3 linked regions of the Drosophila melanogaster genome follow. The protein of the gene in region 1 interacts with the protein of each later gene in a pairwise test. Each region holds a gene or a part of one and is shown in the gene's direction. Other genes may lie near its edges.

Region 1 (5,177 bases):
CCCTTTATAGCGCTCCGTTTATTTGGTTTTTCGTTTTCTCTTAACAGCGGCCGCGGATGTGGACGATGCGATGGGCACCTTGCCCCAGCTAATGCCCAGAGCGTACAGATAGTAGGCCCCAAAGAAGTAGAGCACTCCCAACGCCGAGTACACGGAGGTCAGCAGTAGGGGCAAGAAGGGCAGGCGCTGGTCCAGGTGCAGCAGGAAAGAGAGCAGATGCTCGTACAGCGGAATAGCCATGAAGCCCAGCATGTATAGCCACTCCAGCGTGTGGAAGCCTCGGAAGCCGGGGAAGATGCGATACAGCTGGCCGTACATCATGGCCACGTACGACATGTACAGGGAATACCGGGGAATGTACAGATCCGCATCGAAGAGCAGCGGAAAGAGAGAGAAATAGCCGGCAATGCCAAGGACATAGGCGTATCTGGCATCCTCCCGGTTTACCAGCGTGAGCAGACTGAAAAAGGGTGGGCCTGTTAGTAGGATTCCTTCATTTCGAATTAACTGAGGGGAAGGGAACTCACCAGAGCGGAAGGAGCACCATTAAGATGGCCTTCTCGTGCACATGCCAGCCGAAGACGAAGGAGGAACAGCCGCACAAAACCACCGCTCGCAGGAAGACCAGCGGACTTTGTCTGCAAAGAGATGGCGGATAAGTTTGCTGCGATATCTTGGAATCCAAACGAGGATTTCCTCACTTCTTGGCACTGCGAAAGAGCTTCACCAAAATGGGCAGCATGAAGAGAGCGGTCAGGGCAAAAGTCACAGGCGGTGTGATGGCTGGCAGCACCGAGTGCCTGACCTCCTGGACCAATCCTGACGTCGTCGAGGCACCGCCATCCTGTACCTTCAAAACTCCGGCGGCCAACTTGTCGGCGGCATTGTACAGCGCCCAGAAGTTGGGTGCCCAGTAGGCGTGCGTTAGGCCACGCTTGAAAGGAAACAGACGGGAGAGGACTTGCGGCAATTGCTGCCAGAAGGGTCCGAAAGACACGGCGAACGGAGTAAGTCCAACGACCAGCAGCTTGACAACGGCACCCACCGCAGACACCACACTCGCTTGCTCCAGGCAATAGAAACGCAGCAGGTAGACCCCAAAAGCGGGCGCCATGTACAGAAAGATGTGCTTAAAGTTGAGCAGCACGGCGAAGGCAAAGGCGCTCCAGAGGAACCGCTGCCGGATGAGGGAACCGATGCTCAGGAGCAGTATGCCGAACAGCAAGCCATTGTACTGAAAGTGAATGTGGTCCACGAAGATCAATCCCACGTTGAGGAGCAGCAACATGGAGGCGGCAAAGAACTGCTGCGTATCCCTGCCCAATCCCAGTGAGCCCAGGCAGCTGCGCACGCCGAGCACATACACTAGATCCGTAACAATCACCGAGAGCCGCTGAAAGTAAACGGTGGCCTTGGACTCGTAATTCAGGTTATCCACCACCAGCATTCGTGGATCCACGTACTTGGCCACCTGCGAGAGCAGCCACTCGAAGTAGGCGAAGAACGGCGGATAGTCCAGTGTCCACTCGCTGGTGGCGTCCACATACCACTGATTCAGCGGCAAACTGTGGGTGATGGCCAGCCAGTTGCGATGGACTTCGAAATCCGTGGAATGGCTAAGGATGAAGTTGATTTAGTGGGCTTGATAAGTGGACAGAGCACTGCATTTACTAGGCTGGAATCAGCAGGATCTTTAGGCCGGTGGCTATGCCCACCAGGTGCCAGAAGAGGTCCTTCATCTTCGTTTCTCTCAGGGATTGGGATTGTAGTTTAGATTCGATGCATTCCTTATCAGCGGTAAGTGCTGTCCGATCTGGCTTGAAAGCGGGCAGAATGCGATTGTCGATTGTGCCGGCTAAATGTGGCTTGGAAGTAGCCAGTTAGCCCGACTAAAAGCTATCGTTATCGGGCTGTCCAGTTTTCGCCCTCACCGCCGCCTGGTCACACTGACGCTCGCGTGTATGCATGTGTGTGTGTGTGCATTACATTACGCATTTGCTTTGCGAATTAGAAGCTAATTAAAGCGAATATTGTGGACTCGAGCCGGTCGCCAGAGTCCCACGGTTGCCGCCAACGCCGAGCTAAGGTCTCCAGCCAACCGGGCCATGTACGCCACCAACAATGGCGGCACGAACAAGGCGCCAAACAGGTAAGTTCCGCCTCCGCCAGCAAAATCTAGCGCCCCTCCCCCAAAAAAACAGGCGGTACAGCCGAGATTTTTAGTGTGTGCGCCGATCCTTTTTGTTTTCATTCTGCGATTTGTGCATGCCAAATAATTTGAATGAAACTAATGTGAATGCCCTACAGCAATGCCACCTCCATGTTCGACAACACCATCACAGTGACGCCCATAAAGATGGAACTGGGCCAGGCGTATGCCAAATCGCAAAATTCAGCGGCTATGCAGCGAAGAACACCGAATGCAGTGGTGGTCACCTCCTCCTCCACCGTCTCCTCCGCCCAGCAGCAGCAGCAACAGCAGGGCCAGCAGCAACAGCAGACGGTTCCCATGGCCAGTTTGGTGTCCAACGCCTGTACGCTGGTTAATCCCAGCATGAGTGTGACGGTGGCCACCACCGTTGCGAGCGGCGCCAAGGAGAAGACCACGAAGGCCACACGAACTCAGGTGGCACGCAAACCGCCGCCCACCATCGACAACTTCTGGCCAAATATCGTGAGCGAGGTGCACAGCATCGGCCAGGTGGATGCCAAGCACCAGGTGCTGCCGCTGGCGCGCATCAAGAAAATCATGAAGCTGGACGAGAACGCCAAGATGATTGCCGGCGAGGCGCCGCTACTGTTTGCCAAAGCCTGCGAGTACTTCATTCAGGAGCTGACTATGCACGCTTGGGTGCACACCGAGGAGAGCCGGCGGCGTACGCTCCAGCGTTCGGACATTGCCCAGGCCATAGCCAACTACGACCAGTTCGACTTCCTCATCGACATTGTGCCGCGCGAAGAGATCAAACCGTCGTCGGCGCAAAAGACCAAGGATGGCAGTACATCCAGTTCGAGCGGAATGGCGGGCGCAGCCAGCAGTGCCGCCTCCACCTCCAACACAGCCACCTCCAATGCGGCCGCCTCCGTGGCGGGCAATGCTACCGCCACGGGCAACTTTGTAGCCAGTGGTTCCACCGTACCTGCGACCACCGCTGGTGGCCTCAAGCTGGACACCACGGGTGCAACCAATGCCGCCGAGGTGCTCGGCTTCAGCACTGTCAACTCGGACATCTTCTCAGCGCAACTGCAGCAGCAACAACAACAGCAGCAACAGCACGCCGCCCAGCAGCAGCAGCAACAACAGCAGCAGCAACATCACCAGGCACATCCACAGCAGGTTCAGATTATTCAGCAGGGCGCTGGTGGCCAACAGTTGCAATACTTTATCGCACTGCCGAGTCAGCAGGCGGCGCAGCTCGTGCAGCAGCCGCAGCCCGCGCAGAATCATCTACCCATCAACATTTTGTCAACCCAACAACCCACCCAGCAGTTGATACTGACCGCCGGTCCCAATGGTCAGCTGACCGCAACGCCAGCGCCGCAAACGACTGCCCAGCAACAGACGGCGCTGCTCCAGAATCTCGCCCAGCAGCAACAGCAGCACCAGCAACATCAGCAGCAGATTCAGCTGCTGCAGCAAGTGGTTACGCCCACGGGGGAGCTGACTAATGTGCCGGTAGGTATCACTTGAGGTAATTGTATTGAATCCCAGATTAAGACTTGCCTTTCCCATTGCAGATCGCCATCAATGCCAGTCATTTGAATCTCCTGCAGCGACTACAAATGCAACAGCAGCAGCAGCAGCAACAACAGCAGCAGCAACAGCAGCAGCAGCAACAACAGGTCATCATACCAACCCAACTGCTGACGACACAGCAACTGCTCCAGCTGGGCGGAGCACCCACAGTGGCCCATCAGCAGCAGCAGCAACAGCAGCAGCACGCCAATCTCACGCAGCAGAGCAACGCCAGTGCGGTGGCCAGTGGCACGCCGATCTTTATCAACTCGACCATGACTGGTGCCCAGGCGGCGGCGACGCAGGCGCAGCAGCAGCAGTCGGCGCAGCAGCAACAGGCACAAACGATCTCCACCATGTCCACGGATCGCACATTAACCGGCGGATTTCGGTAAAAGCTGGAAGTATGATATCCGTACCAACGGACGGACGGACAGACGGACAGTTGGCAATCATATCGAAAGCATCGGGAGGCATTGGAATCGGGCATTGGCAAGCGGGCATTGATTGCGCCATCCCCTGTCATCCAGCACAATGTATAATATTATAGTTTACGTAGGTGTATACGATTGTATATCGCGGGGGAGATTATATATAGCTAGTGTCTAAGTCGTAGGCATCTGTGTAGAAACGATTTCTCAATTGTAATTTATTGCTGACCCTCCCGCCCCCTGGCAGCAGGTTTCACCTTCTCCAAAAAAAAAAACCGCCACCTCCACCACTTTTAAACCTAGCACTTAGAGAGAATAATGGGAAATCGAGTGTATTAGTGTATGTATGTGACGGGTGACGGATGCCACCGGTCCAAAGCATAACCCAGCGTTTCGCGTGGCATCCGCGCTCTTTATTATGTATTTGTACTTCTAACTAAGCTAAGATCTGATAAACAATTATAAGCCACCAAGGACTATGTGCCAGAAACTCCTGCGCTAACTGTATTCACTTTCTGGCCAGGATCTTGTTGATGTCCTGCAGTTCGCGGGTGCTCCATGGTTCCAGCGGATCGGGCGGCGATTGCGTTCGCCGCGTGTAAGCGGAACGTCCCCGCTGGCTGCGCTCGTCCGGATCATCGCTTTGCTCCGGCGAAACTCTGGCGCCCAAGGAAAACGTGGGATTAAGATATGAAACGGACACTGGGATGGGAACTCACTTGTTTCGGCGACGAACACGAGCACTTTTGGCGCGACGAGCGGCCTCATCCTGTGCTGGCTGGCACTTGCGCAGGTGAAACTGCTTCATAGTGGCGTGCACCTCCTCCGCCGTGGGTATATCCTCGCTGTCCTGTCCACCATTGCCGTCCTCGGTCTCCACTTCGGCTTCCTGTTCGATGGTCAGCACCTCCTCCGCGACGGCTTCATCGAAGTGGAAGCCCTGCTAGTGGGTTTACATTTTGCACTCAGCTATTTCACTTTTTTTATCCACTCACCGTGTCCACATCCAG
Region 2 (4,589 bases), on another chromosome or scaffold:
AAACATAAAGAGTGCAATGTACGCACCTGGCGCCCTTATAACTGTGGTAAAGTGATCGATACGCCCCCTCAGAGTCCTGATCTGAACCCCATTGAAAATTTGTGGACCTACTTAAAGAAGAAGGTGGCAAAAAGGGACCTAAAACACAACAACAGCTTATGACTGTAATAGTCGAAGAGTGTGAAAAGATCCCGTTTGAATATGACCTGCAAAAACTTGTCCAATCCATGAAAAAAAGGCTTCAACTTGTAGCTAAAGCCAATGGGGAACATACTACATACCAAAACTTTTAAAATTTTAATAAAATAATTAAAAAATTTAGGTTTAAACTTCGATTTAGTGTTTTGTGTAAAGAGTTTCTTGACAGTCTCAAAAGTGTGTACACTTGGAATTTGTTGTTTATTTTCTTGTATATTTAATATTTTTAATTTGTTTTTTGATTTATAAGTAAAATAAATATTGTTTAATTATATTTTATAAAAAAATTGCGTTTAATTAAGCAAAAAACCCTTTATTTTTAGCTTTAAAGTCAAAAATTCAACTTATTTTACAGTGTGTAAACAGTTTCTTGACAAACTGTATGTATGTACACTTGCCACACTTTTTGGTGTTGTAATTATATCTTTCGGATCAGAAACCTCGCAATTTACGTGGCATTATAATTAAATATATTATTATTATTAAAATGTAACGAACATTATCCAAAATAAGATACAAATTGAAAAAAATACGGAGAACTAGAGTTCACTAAAATTATTAAAGGTTCCATAGGTTTCATACCTATGGCCCTAATATTGGAGGAAATATTTCCCATTGCGGTGGAGTTATTTATTATAGTTATTTTCACTGGTTATTTTATGTTATGGTATTTTCACTGGTGGAAGTACGGAGACTGAATGATATATGTTCTGCAGCCATGCAATATATATAAGTACAATTTATTAAATTTTTTAATCTAACATTGCTGTGGTGAGTATGGGGGTTGGGTCATAGCGTTTAGTATAAGTATTTTAAGTTAAGTACTTTTCTTGAGTGACATGGACTGGTAACATTAACATATGGCACAATATTTTAATTATTTTTACAAATAGCATTTAATTTTAAACTAGCATTAATTTCTTTTTATATTTTTGGATACCCCGTCAGAAGGACGAAAGCACCGGAAGGACAGAAGGACAGGAGTCATCGCCGGGGATAAATTGGAGTTTTGCAGCATTTAAATATAGCCGACTGTCCCACCCACTGTCCCTCCCACTGAAATCTTAATGTTGCAGATCTATTGCAGAAATCTTATTGTTAATAAAGCGGTTCATGACATGGATTGGTTGTGGTATTGGTACTAAAGAGGGCGGATCTTAAACTCCTCCCACTGTTATGTTATTATCTCAAAAACAGTGGAAAATTTTTAATGATTTTTTAATTTAATGAAATATTCCTGAAATGTCCTTAAGGTCTGAGGAGTTAAGGTTTGAGGAGGTCTAGCGTGCAAAATGTTGGGGAGCCGATTATTCTATCGCATTATTTTTTTACTTTCTTGAGCCCTATAAGTAGTACATAGATAGTTAGATCTGCCATTTTGAAACATTTTTGCATTTTTATTCTTGGGAATTTACTCCCAAATAACGTTAGCGCAAATTTATTAATTAATGTATTTATTAAATAAATTTATTATACTGATAACATATTAATATAGCAAAAAAAAATACGTTTTTGAATATATGTGCATTCTTTTTAAACTGCTGCACACATTTATTATTTTTTTGGACTCTTACAATACTTTTTCAAAAATTTTAAATATAACTGCGACTTTGAGCGATACTTTCACTTTTCCCGTGACGCCAACCGATATGCACAGCGCTTGCAGCCCTGGCCAATTTTGATGTGTTTCAGCATTGTACCCTGACAACCCTGCTCTGTAAAACTAGGAAAAACAGAAAATTTTATTTTCAATTGTTAAATATCCAAACGTAAACAGCCGGAAAATGTCACGACAAGCCTCTCGTTTGGACGCCAAGAAAGTGGTAAGTTGGCCAAAGAAGAGAGAACAGCGCAAGATCGGTATCGTTAGTCATTTGGAGGCATAGATCTAGTTGTAAGGTTAGATTTGTGCCATAGTGCCTAAGAACGAATCTTTGACGTGCCATCCACCCTCAAAATCGGCTTCATTCACTTTTCCAGTAAGTGTGTGTGTTGGGGGCTTGAGGTTGAGACACGGACACACAGACAGGCACAAGCCGACGTGCAATCAGGCAATGGAAAACCATTTCAGCGCCACCAGTCGCCCCTCAGCCACGCCCAGAATGTGCACCACCGCCTCTGCCGTCGGTGCTGCCGCCAGCGCCGCCGCCGCCGCCGGCAACAACAATAACAACAGCAATAGCAGCAGCAACAACAACGCAACAACCGGCAACAATTTAAGTGTTAGCACTGCAGCCGGAGGAGCCACAAATGCCGCAGCAACGGCACAACCCATCCAAGTGATACCAATGCCCATGCTGCCCACCGGAGCGGCGCAAATCATAATTGGCCAGCAGCCACAGGGTCAGGCGACGGCGACGGGTCTGCAGCCACAATTGATACCGCTGCAGGCCAACCAGATTATGCTGCAGGCTGCGCAGCAGCAGCCACAGATGCAGGTGATGCAGCTGCCCGATGGCCAGACTATATTCTATCAGACGCCCACCATTGCCGCCTTGGATCCGAATGCAGCGGCCAACGCCGCAGCTGCCATGGCAGCCCAGCCGACGCCGCACTACCTCAATATCAATGGGCAGCTGGTGCAGATCAATCCAGCACCGAGCGCTAATCAGGCGGCACCCACAGCTGGGCAACAGATTATAATGGTGCCGCAGACAGCGATGGCAGCGGTGAATGCAGCGGCCGCCAATGCCGGAGTAGGCGCCGGAGTGGGCACAGTGGTTACCCAACAACAACAGCAGCAGCATCAACAAGTACAATCCCAGACCCAAAACCAGCAGCAGCAGCAACAGCAGCAGACGGTGGCGGCGGTGGCTGCCAGTGCTGCAGTCAATAATATAAGCGCCGATGTCAGCACAAGTACAACTGGAACGAATACGAACAGCGAGGACGAGAGCTCCAAGGGCGAGGCGGACGAGGAGCCGCTCTATGTGAATGCCAAGCAGTACAAACGTATTCTCATTCGGCGGCAGGCCAGGGCCAAGCTAGAGTCGCGCATACCCAAGGAACGGTGCAAGTATCTGCACGAATCTCGTCATCGCCACGCCATGAATCGGGCTCGTGGCGAGGGTGGTCGCTTCCATTCGGCACAGGAGAAGGGCGACCAAGATTCGTCCGGCCCGGAAGGCGGCAGCATGCCAATGGCGTCCAGTGGCGGCGTCACCCTCAGCCGTGGCACGGCACGTGCTCCGCCCAAACTGATCGCGCCACATCAAACGCCCAGCATTACCATAACGGCGATCAAATCGGAATAGTCGCCTCCTAGCTGTAGGATACAAACTAGATAAGATTGTAGTCATAGCGTTTAGTCCTAAGCCAGTCGCTCTGTGTCCATTTGTCCTCAATCACACCACTTTAGTCGGCTCACATAGTTTTCATTTTTTTTTTTTTTCAAAATTAAGTCTTCATATATTATTTTCAAAGGGAATTTTTGGGTTTTTCTATTTATTTTCATTCACTTAGATTGGAAAAGTGATAAGTTCAAGAAAGAGATAATTGTTTTACTTATTATATTCATTTTCTAAATCGTTTCTAATTTCTAATATTTATTTTCTGTTAGCCAGCTGTTAAAAATTGTTTGTAATTATTAAATAGAGAATTTATTTCATTTACTAGACATTTTCAAAATTTACACAAGTAATGCAATTATTAATTTAGGGTTTATAGTTCATTTCAAAATGGAATGGGGAAAGGGCTGCCAATAGTCACCGCAAAACAACAGAGCTCAACAATATAAGATTCAACAAGGGTGAATGATATAGTCGCCTTCCCCGACTATCAGATACCCGTTACTCAGCTTTTGGAAATGCGAACTCGAAATTTCAAAAGTTCATAAATTTCAAACAAATTTTTTGGCAAATCGATAGAAGACTAATAAAATTATGAAAAAATATCCAAAAAATTTTCAAAAGTGTGGGAGTGGCAATTTTGTGCGGCTTGTGGGCGCTGCGTCGTGGTCTCTATCATTAACCTCAATATCAACCCTTTAGCGTTTATATTTCCTGAGATCTCTTTTAAACGGACAGACGGACATGGTTACATCGACTCGGCTACTGATTCCGATCAAAAATATATATACTTTATATGGTCGGAAACGCTTCCTTCTGCCTGTTACATACTTTTCAACGAATCTAGTATACTCTTTGAATCTACGAGTAACGGGTAAAGCACCATTGAGGACCATTTGCCGCATAATAAATGCAACACAGTTTATAAAATTAAAAAAAAAAAGCATATACATTTACTGCGGAACTCGTGAATGGCTACAGTTTTGTATATGGTACAGGCCTATAAAACGCTTTATTCTGGCTCTGGATTGATTTTTATTCGCTATCTGCTCTCTCCTCTCTTCCTCCTTTGTACAACAAACGAAAAATCAAAACACAGAACTC
Region 3 (5,730 bases), on another chromosome or scaffold:
GCGGGAAAGATATATATCTTAATGTAAACACATAATTAATTTCTAATTTCTTTTACATCACAAGCAGCTAAACAGATATACATATATTTCATTTAAGTTCTATTACCACCAAATTATTTTTAAATAAGAGAGAACGCTTAAGCAAATTTGTTGGACATTGAGATACCGTTTACACAGCCAGAAGGAATGCAAAATATAAACAATGAAAACAAAAAGTTTTGGGTGTTGAATTGGTCGTGGCGAAATAGTTCAAGCATATCAATACAAATTATCAAGAAAAACAACTTAATTTTTTAAGATAAAGAACTTTTCAAAAGTATACGAACAGAAGGATTGGTAGCCGAAGACAAGAATATAAGCACGTTATAATGCCCGAAACGCTTCCTTCCGTTCCTTCTGACATAATTTTTTCCAAAACCATACACATAATCGTTCGAAATCACTACCATAAAACTTGTCTTTTCATTCCTCAAAAATAGCTAATAAATAAGCTTACTATCTCAAGACATTCCCTTAAATGCTGTTGTCATAAAAAACATTTGACCACGTTGGTTGCCTTGCCAACACTAATAAATTTTTGAATTTGGGCGCCGAGAGTATTTAAATCTTTTGGAAGCTGAAATTTTCCAACACCAAACAGGACTCGCAGAACTTTGTTCATCCAGGATCTTAAGCTCAAAACCAAAACGTATGCGAATTAAAATTGCTGCTATTTAATTATTTAAAAGAATAGTTTTTATTTTTTATTAATTAATATTTATTCGGCGACAGACTTCCTCACTTATACTATTACAAGACACTTTATTACTAGCTTATCTTTGATTTGAAGCTGTTCACGATCTCGTCCCGACTCAGACTGATCTTCTAAATCTTAATCCTAATCCACTCAACCTCGGCCAGAAGCTTTTCTTTAGGATTCTCTTAAGCTTTTTAATATGTTTAGGATAAAAGCTTTACACTGAAATTATTTCCCAGCATTGTGAAATTCAAATTTGCTGACTGACGCAGTTTGACTGAAGCGCAATAAGTTGACCATGGCTTGGTCTCCAAGTGGAAGTTGTGTTTACTTTAAGTTTGGTTATATATCGGGTGGCTAAGTGTTGGCGTCAAAAACAAGGGCAAAGGCAACGCTGCTGAGATTGGAGTTAGAAATTTGTTTAGCTTTTGGTAGAGTGCTATATTTATGGGTTGGATAACTTGCGTCACTACGTGGGGCATAAAAAATCTGTTGTCCCTTAACTCACTCCCCTACATCGAGTGATAAAGATAAATAGGAATTCCTAAAAGATTTAAGTATACAAAAATAAGTACGTTTTATATGGAATCTTTAAGAATTAGTTAAAAGTCGAGTGCCTGTAAAATTTCGTTATCTTATGGAATTTGTTATCAACCATGGCCCATGATCTTACCAAAGACACTAGAATATTCTAGTGTCTTTGCTCTTACAGTGTTACCTTAGCTTGTAGAATATTAAAAGTTAAGTCTCAATAAATTTAAAACGTGTTTTTAACGCAGCTCAGCACAAGATATTTCTTTTCGAAAGCTAGTAACAGCCAGATTCTACTGATCGTAGCGTTTGCCTTTTGAGTAAGAGACAACATGTAAGACAACATGTGATGTAATCCAAATTACGAAGTACAAAACGTATATAAAAATATTTATGTTTTCTGAGTTATCGAATTAGTGTAAAAGGGCTCTAAGAAATCCTACCAGTTCTTTGTGAATTTTGGTATATTTTCGAGGGAAATGATTATTTTCATGAGTCGTGAAACGGTCACACTTTTAAAAAGTAAAACTGCTGCTCGTCTGCTCTATCTCTGAGCGTTGTTCTGTCTCCATCTCTCTTTAGCAATCGTAAAAAATGATGGACTGAAAGTTAAAGTGCTGGAATTTGTTAGAAAAAGATAACACTATTTAAATATATATCTTGTATTATTCCAAACAATATATCGTTAAAATACGTTATCAATTCACGAATACAATTTTACACCACTCAAATCTTAACAATTTTATTGTGGAGCAGGCAGTGCGCAATTTATGGTGTGGTCCGGTTGCGTAAAAGGTAATTTTAATAATGAAAAAAATAACACATGTAGTGTAATATTGTATGATAAAAAAACAAATGTGCTAGACTCCAGTTTAGATACTAGAGTCTGTTAATGTAAAGAGCTGCTGCATTAAACGTTCGTCTGTGTATGTTTTGTGTCGCGTATGTACATATTTTTTGTCTCACCGTCGCCATTTTTAATCAGTCGTTTTCGCTGGGTTCCTATGGCACTATATTCATCTCTTTTTCTCTTTTATAGAATTAGCGTCGCGTGATGCAGTGTTGAAAAGCGCGACAGAGCTGCAGTAAATAAAAGGCCAACGTATGATAAAAGTTAATTTTTGAGCATACTCGAATTTTGGGGACCATGGAAGACCTTACCAAAAACATTATCTTCACAAATGCCATTAATGGGCAACCGGCCACAATTCAATACCAGACGGCGGATGGCACCATTCTTAAACAGCCCAAAATAGAGGGCCAAAAAACGGAGCAGCAGCCTACCTTCTATTACACGACAAATGTAAGTAGTTTACTTACTATATGTTATTGGTGCTGACTTTTCATATTGTCTTCACATAGGGCAATGGCGGTACCGTCAATCTCGCACAGCTGGCCACCACAGACGACAATAAGACGTGTTATATAGCCCAGCCCGTGGGCGGATACAATTACGCCCTGGTCAACGGAATGCCTCTCAATCAGGGTGCAGCTCTTGGCATCGCCACGGTAGACGCACAAGGCCGCATCCAGATTGTCAATCAAAATAAGCCAATTGCAGCTGTATGTAAAAGGAAGACTCGTTAAGCAAAGCCTAAAGATTTTCTTCTTTGCAGAACACCATATCCAACATAAGCTTTAAGTGTGACGTATGTTCAGATATGTTCCCTCATTTGGCACTTCTTAATGCTCATAAGCGGATGCATACAGACGGGGAACAGCAGCAACAACAGCAACATAACGCCCAAGCGGGCGGCGATTCTATTGCCGTGGTCAGCGCGCAGGGGCTTGTGCAGGCACAGAACATTATTGGAAATGGTCAGATGGGCCAGATACAGATTGTGTCTTCTGACACGCTGGAGCCGGTTCAGCAATCTGTAATGCAGCAGCAGCAACATGAGTCAAAGGCAAGCAAGTGCATAAATTGTGGAAGCTCTATGCTGCAGCAGTCCAAACGCAAAGGTCCAAAGCAGGTGCGCTGCGAGTCCTGCATGCAGGCTGAACAAACAGCGCAACAACAACAGCAGCTCTTCGTCGCCCAAGACGGTAGTTGTGAAAGATTACATTCTAAATGGACCATAACTAACTTCATCGCATCTTTTGCAGGTCAAATGGCGCATCCCGTGCAAATCATATCAACGACTCCTCAGGCCCAAGCACAACTTCAGCAAATTGTGGCTGCACAGACTGGCGGTACAACGCCAAAGCGAGAGGCGAGCAGTGGGTCTGGCCATCATCCTGTGAAAAAACGAAATTCCCAGCAGATGACCAAATGCCAGAAATGCAATGGCTCCGGCGTGGTGCTAGTGGGGCAGCACTCCCATGCTTCACACAGCGGGGTGGGCGGATCGGTAAAGCAATCAGTTACTGTTAAAACTGAGTGAGTATAACATGAAATTGCAACCTTATCCTACGCTAACAAAACCAAGGTGTTTGTCCTGCAGAAATCCGTCCAAACCCTTCAGTTGTAATATATGTGGTGGTCTGTTTTCACGTTACTCAAGTCTGTGGTCCCATAAAAAGCTGCACAGCGGTGAAAAAAACTACAAGTGCAGCATCTGTGGATTGGCCTTTGCTAAAGCCGTATATTTGAAAAACCACGCGCGCATTCATACAGGCGAGAAACCCTATAAGTAATACCAATCTTCTACTTGAAATTATACTCTTTATACTAATTACCGTTATCTTTACATAGATGCCAAACCTGCGGCATGCAGTTTTCACAGTCACCACACCTCAAGAACCATGAACGCACGCACAGTGGCGAGCGGCCCTATGTGTGCGGTGTTTGCGACAAAGGATTTGCGCGCCACGCTACTCTTTGGAATCATAGGCGCATTCACACGGGCGAAAAGCCATACAAGTGTGAAATTTGTGGATCGGCCTTTTCTCAGGCGGCGCACCTTAAGAACCACGCAAAGGTGCACTCCGGAGAAAAACCCTACAAGTGCGAGATTTGCTCTGCAGCATTCGCTGATCGTTTTGCACTCAAGCGTCACCGCGGCATACACCAAAAGTACGGCCAAACTGCTCCTCGCCAGACCAGCAGCGATGGGATGATAGTGCATAAGCAGGAGATTCCTGACATGGAGGATGAGGCCCAACAGGAAGTGATTATCGGTGGGTTATAGATAGTTTAAATGCAGAGGTGACAGGCAGCTTAATGAAGTCACAGACACTGGAGTCCACCCTGCTTAGCTTCAGTTTATCGAGCGTTACTATGATCATCTGCCTCCACCTATGCTAGCCCCAGAACCATCTCTAAGGGCGCATATATCACCACAATGATATTAAAGAATAGAAAACGATGTTCCATCGTTAACACTTCAGCTGCATATGTCCTTTCTCCACTTTCATGTGGGATCTTCAAAAATGGGCGAAACCCAAAAACGCTTTTTACGATAAGCATACAAATGAACCTAATTTATTTGATAGCTTGTATAATATACTTAAACATCTTTAAACATTAAACGCATATATGTATAGGCATCGTATTTATAAGTGTTATAGGCTATTCTCTTATACAAATTGTAGGTGTAAAATATGGATTTATTAGGTGACGATACGAGCAAATCCGATACGTATGAATATGCACAGGTAATAAACACACACATATAAGTTGAAAGTTGTAAGCTTAAATATATTTTAATTAAATCTATCTAATATAAGTATGTATTAAATAATGCATAAAATCAAATAAATATTTGAATAAAATACAATTTTTTACTAACCTACTCCATTTGCAAGTGCCTTAACGAAGAATAGAGGGATCCCAGAAATAGGCACATTTTCCACCGTTTTCGACGTCTTATGCGTTTTTTTTTTATTAATGTAAGCACCATTTCACTTTAAATATAATTTTTTTAGTGTTTTGCCACGTTCATCTTATTCTTACGTGAAGCTATAAGGTCAGTAAATTTTAATGTTGGCAATAATATAATTAATAAATACACAAAACTTTAAATATTCATAGACGTAAAAGAGTAAAATAAAGTTAAAATTTATCGAAAATTAGATGATGTGAATTACTGCTGTCTTTTCAAAAAAATTAGAGCTGTTGATTTGTAAAATGGACGCACTCTTTTAAACTTCTTATATTTATATTTTTGCGTATTATCTGTTAAAAATAAAATATTTTTACATATTTAAAGTAAAGTTGTGAAGTGGCAACGAATTTTTTACAATAATCAAAACCAAGTGTTTAAGAATTAGGATTCATGGCTTGTATAATAAAGCTTTAAATTACTAGAATTCGCCATCAGTTAAATCAAGATAAATACGTATACGTATACATTTGCGAACATGGACTTTGCTTAGGGTCCATTTTTGAATTTGCGGTCATTACAAACTTATATTCATATGTATATAGGATTATTCAAGAATGAATACATTTTAGTTACACGGGATTGTAGTTTTGTTTCTTTTAATGTCAACTGGTTTGCATGCACTATGCAATCATGATT

What was found. The genes of interacting proteins can lie anywhere in the genome.
Region 2: the proteins of Nf-YC (region 1) and Nf-YA interact in a two-hybrid assay, tested with the Drosophila melanogaster proteins (one large-scale study listed by BioGRID).
Region 3: the proteins of Nf-YC (region 1) and Clamp interact in a two-hybrid assay, tested with the Drosophila melanogaster proteins (one large-scale study listed by BioGRID).

The regions. Positions count from the first base shown.
Region 1 is NC_004354.4:6,817,655-6,822,831, reverse strand, and holds Nf-YC (nuclear factor Y-box C), read left to right. Parts: upstream 1-1,912; 5' UTR 1,913-2,105; coding exon 2,106-2,149; intron 2,150-2,307; coding exon 2,308-3,676; intron 3,677-3,738; coding exon 3,739-4,131; 3' UTR 4,132-4,654; downstream 4,655-5,177. Other genes in the region: xit (xiantuan), read right to left, coding at 19-460, 528-638, 702-1,616, 1,672-1,739; iav (inactive), read right to left, coding at 4,676-4,826, 4,887-5,107, 5,163-5,177.
Region 2 is NT_037436.4:9,439,556-9,444,144, reverse strand, and holds Nf-YA (nuclear factor Y-box A), read left to right. Parts: upstream 1-1,877; 5' UTR 1,878-1,982; coding exon of another isoform or gene 1,983-2,021; intron 2,022-2,178; 5' UTR 2,179-2,252; coding exon 2,253-3,452; 3' UTR 3,453-4,089; downstream 4,090-4,589. Other genes in the region: Srg3 (Sting-regulated gene 3), read right to left, coding at 781-814; Bet3 (blocked early in transport 3), read left to right, coding at 1,983-2,021, 4,585-4,589.
Region 3 is NT_033779.5:22,165,220-22,170,949, reverse strand, and holds Clamp (Chromatin-linked adaptor for MSL proteins), read left to right. Parts: upstream 1-1,806; 5' UTR 1,807-2,062; intron 2,063-2,306; 5' UTR 2,307-2,414; coding exon 2,415-2,570; intron 2,571-2,629; coding exon 2,630-2,830; intron 2,831-2,883; coding exon 2,884-3,313; intron 3,314-3,373; coding exon 3,374-3,647; intron 3,648-3,696; coding exon 3,697-3,900; intron 3,901-3,962; coding exon 3,963-4,398; 3' UTR 4,399-5,230; downstream 5,231-5,730. UniProt on the Drosophila melanogaster protein: Transcription factor involved in X-chromosome dosage compensation in males, the process by which transcription of the single X chromosome in the male is elevated. Binds to the DNA sequence (GA)n.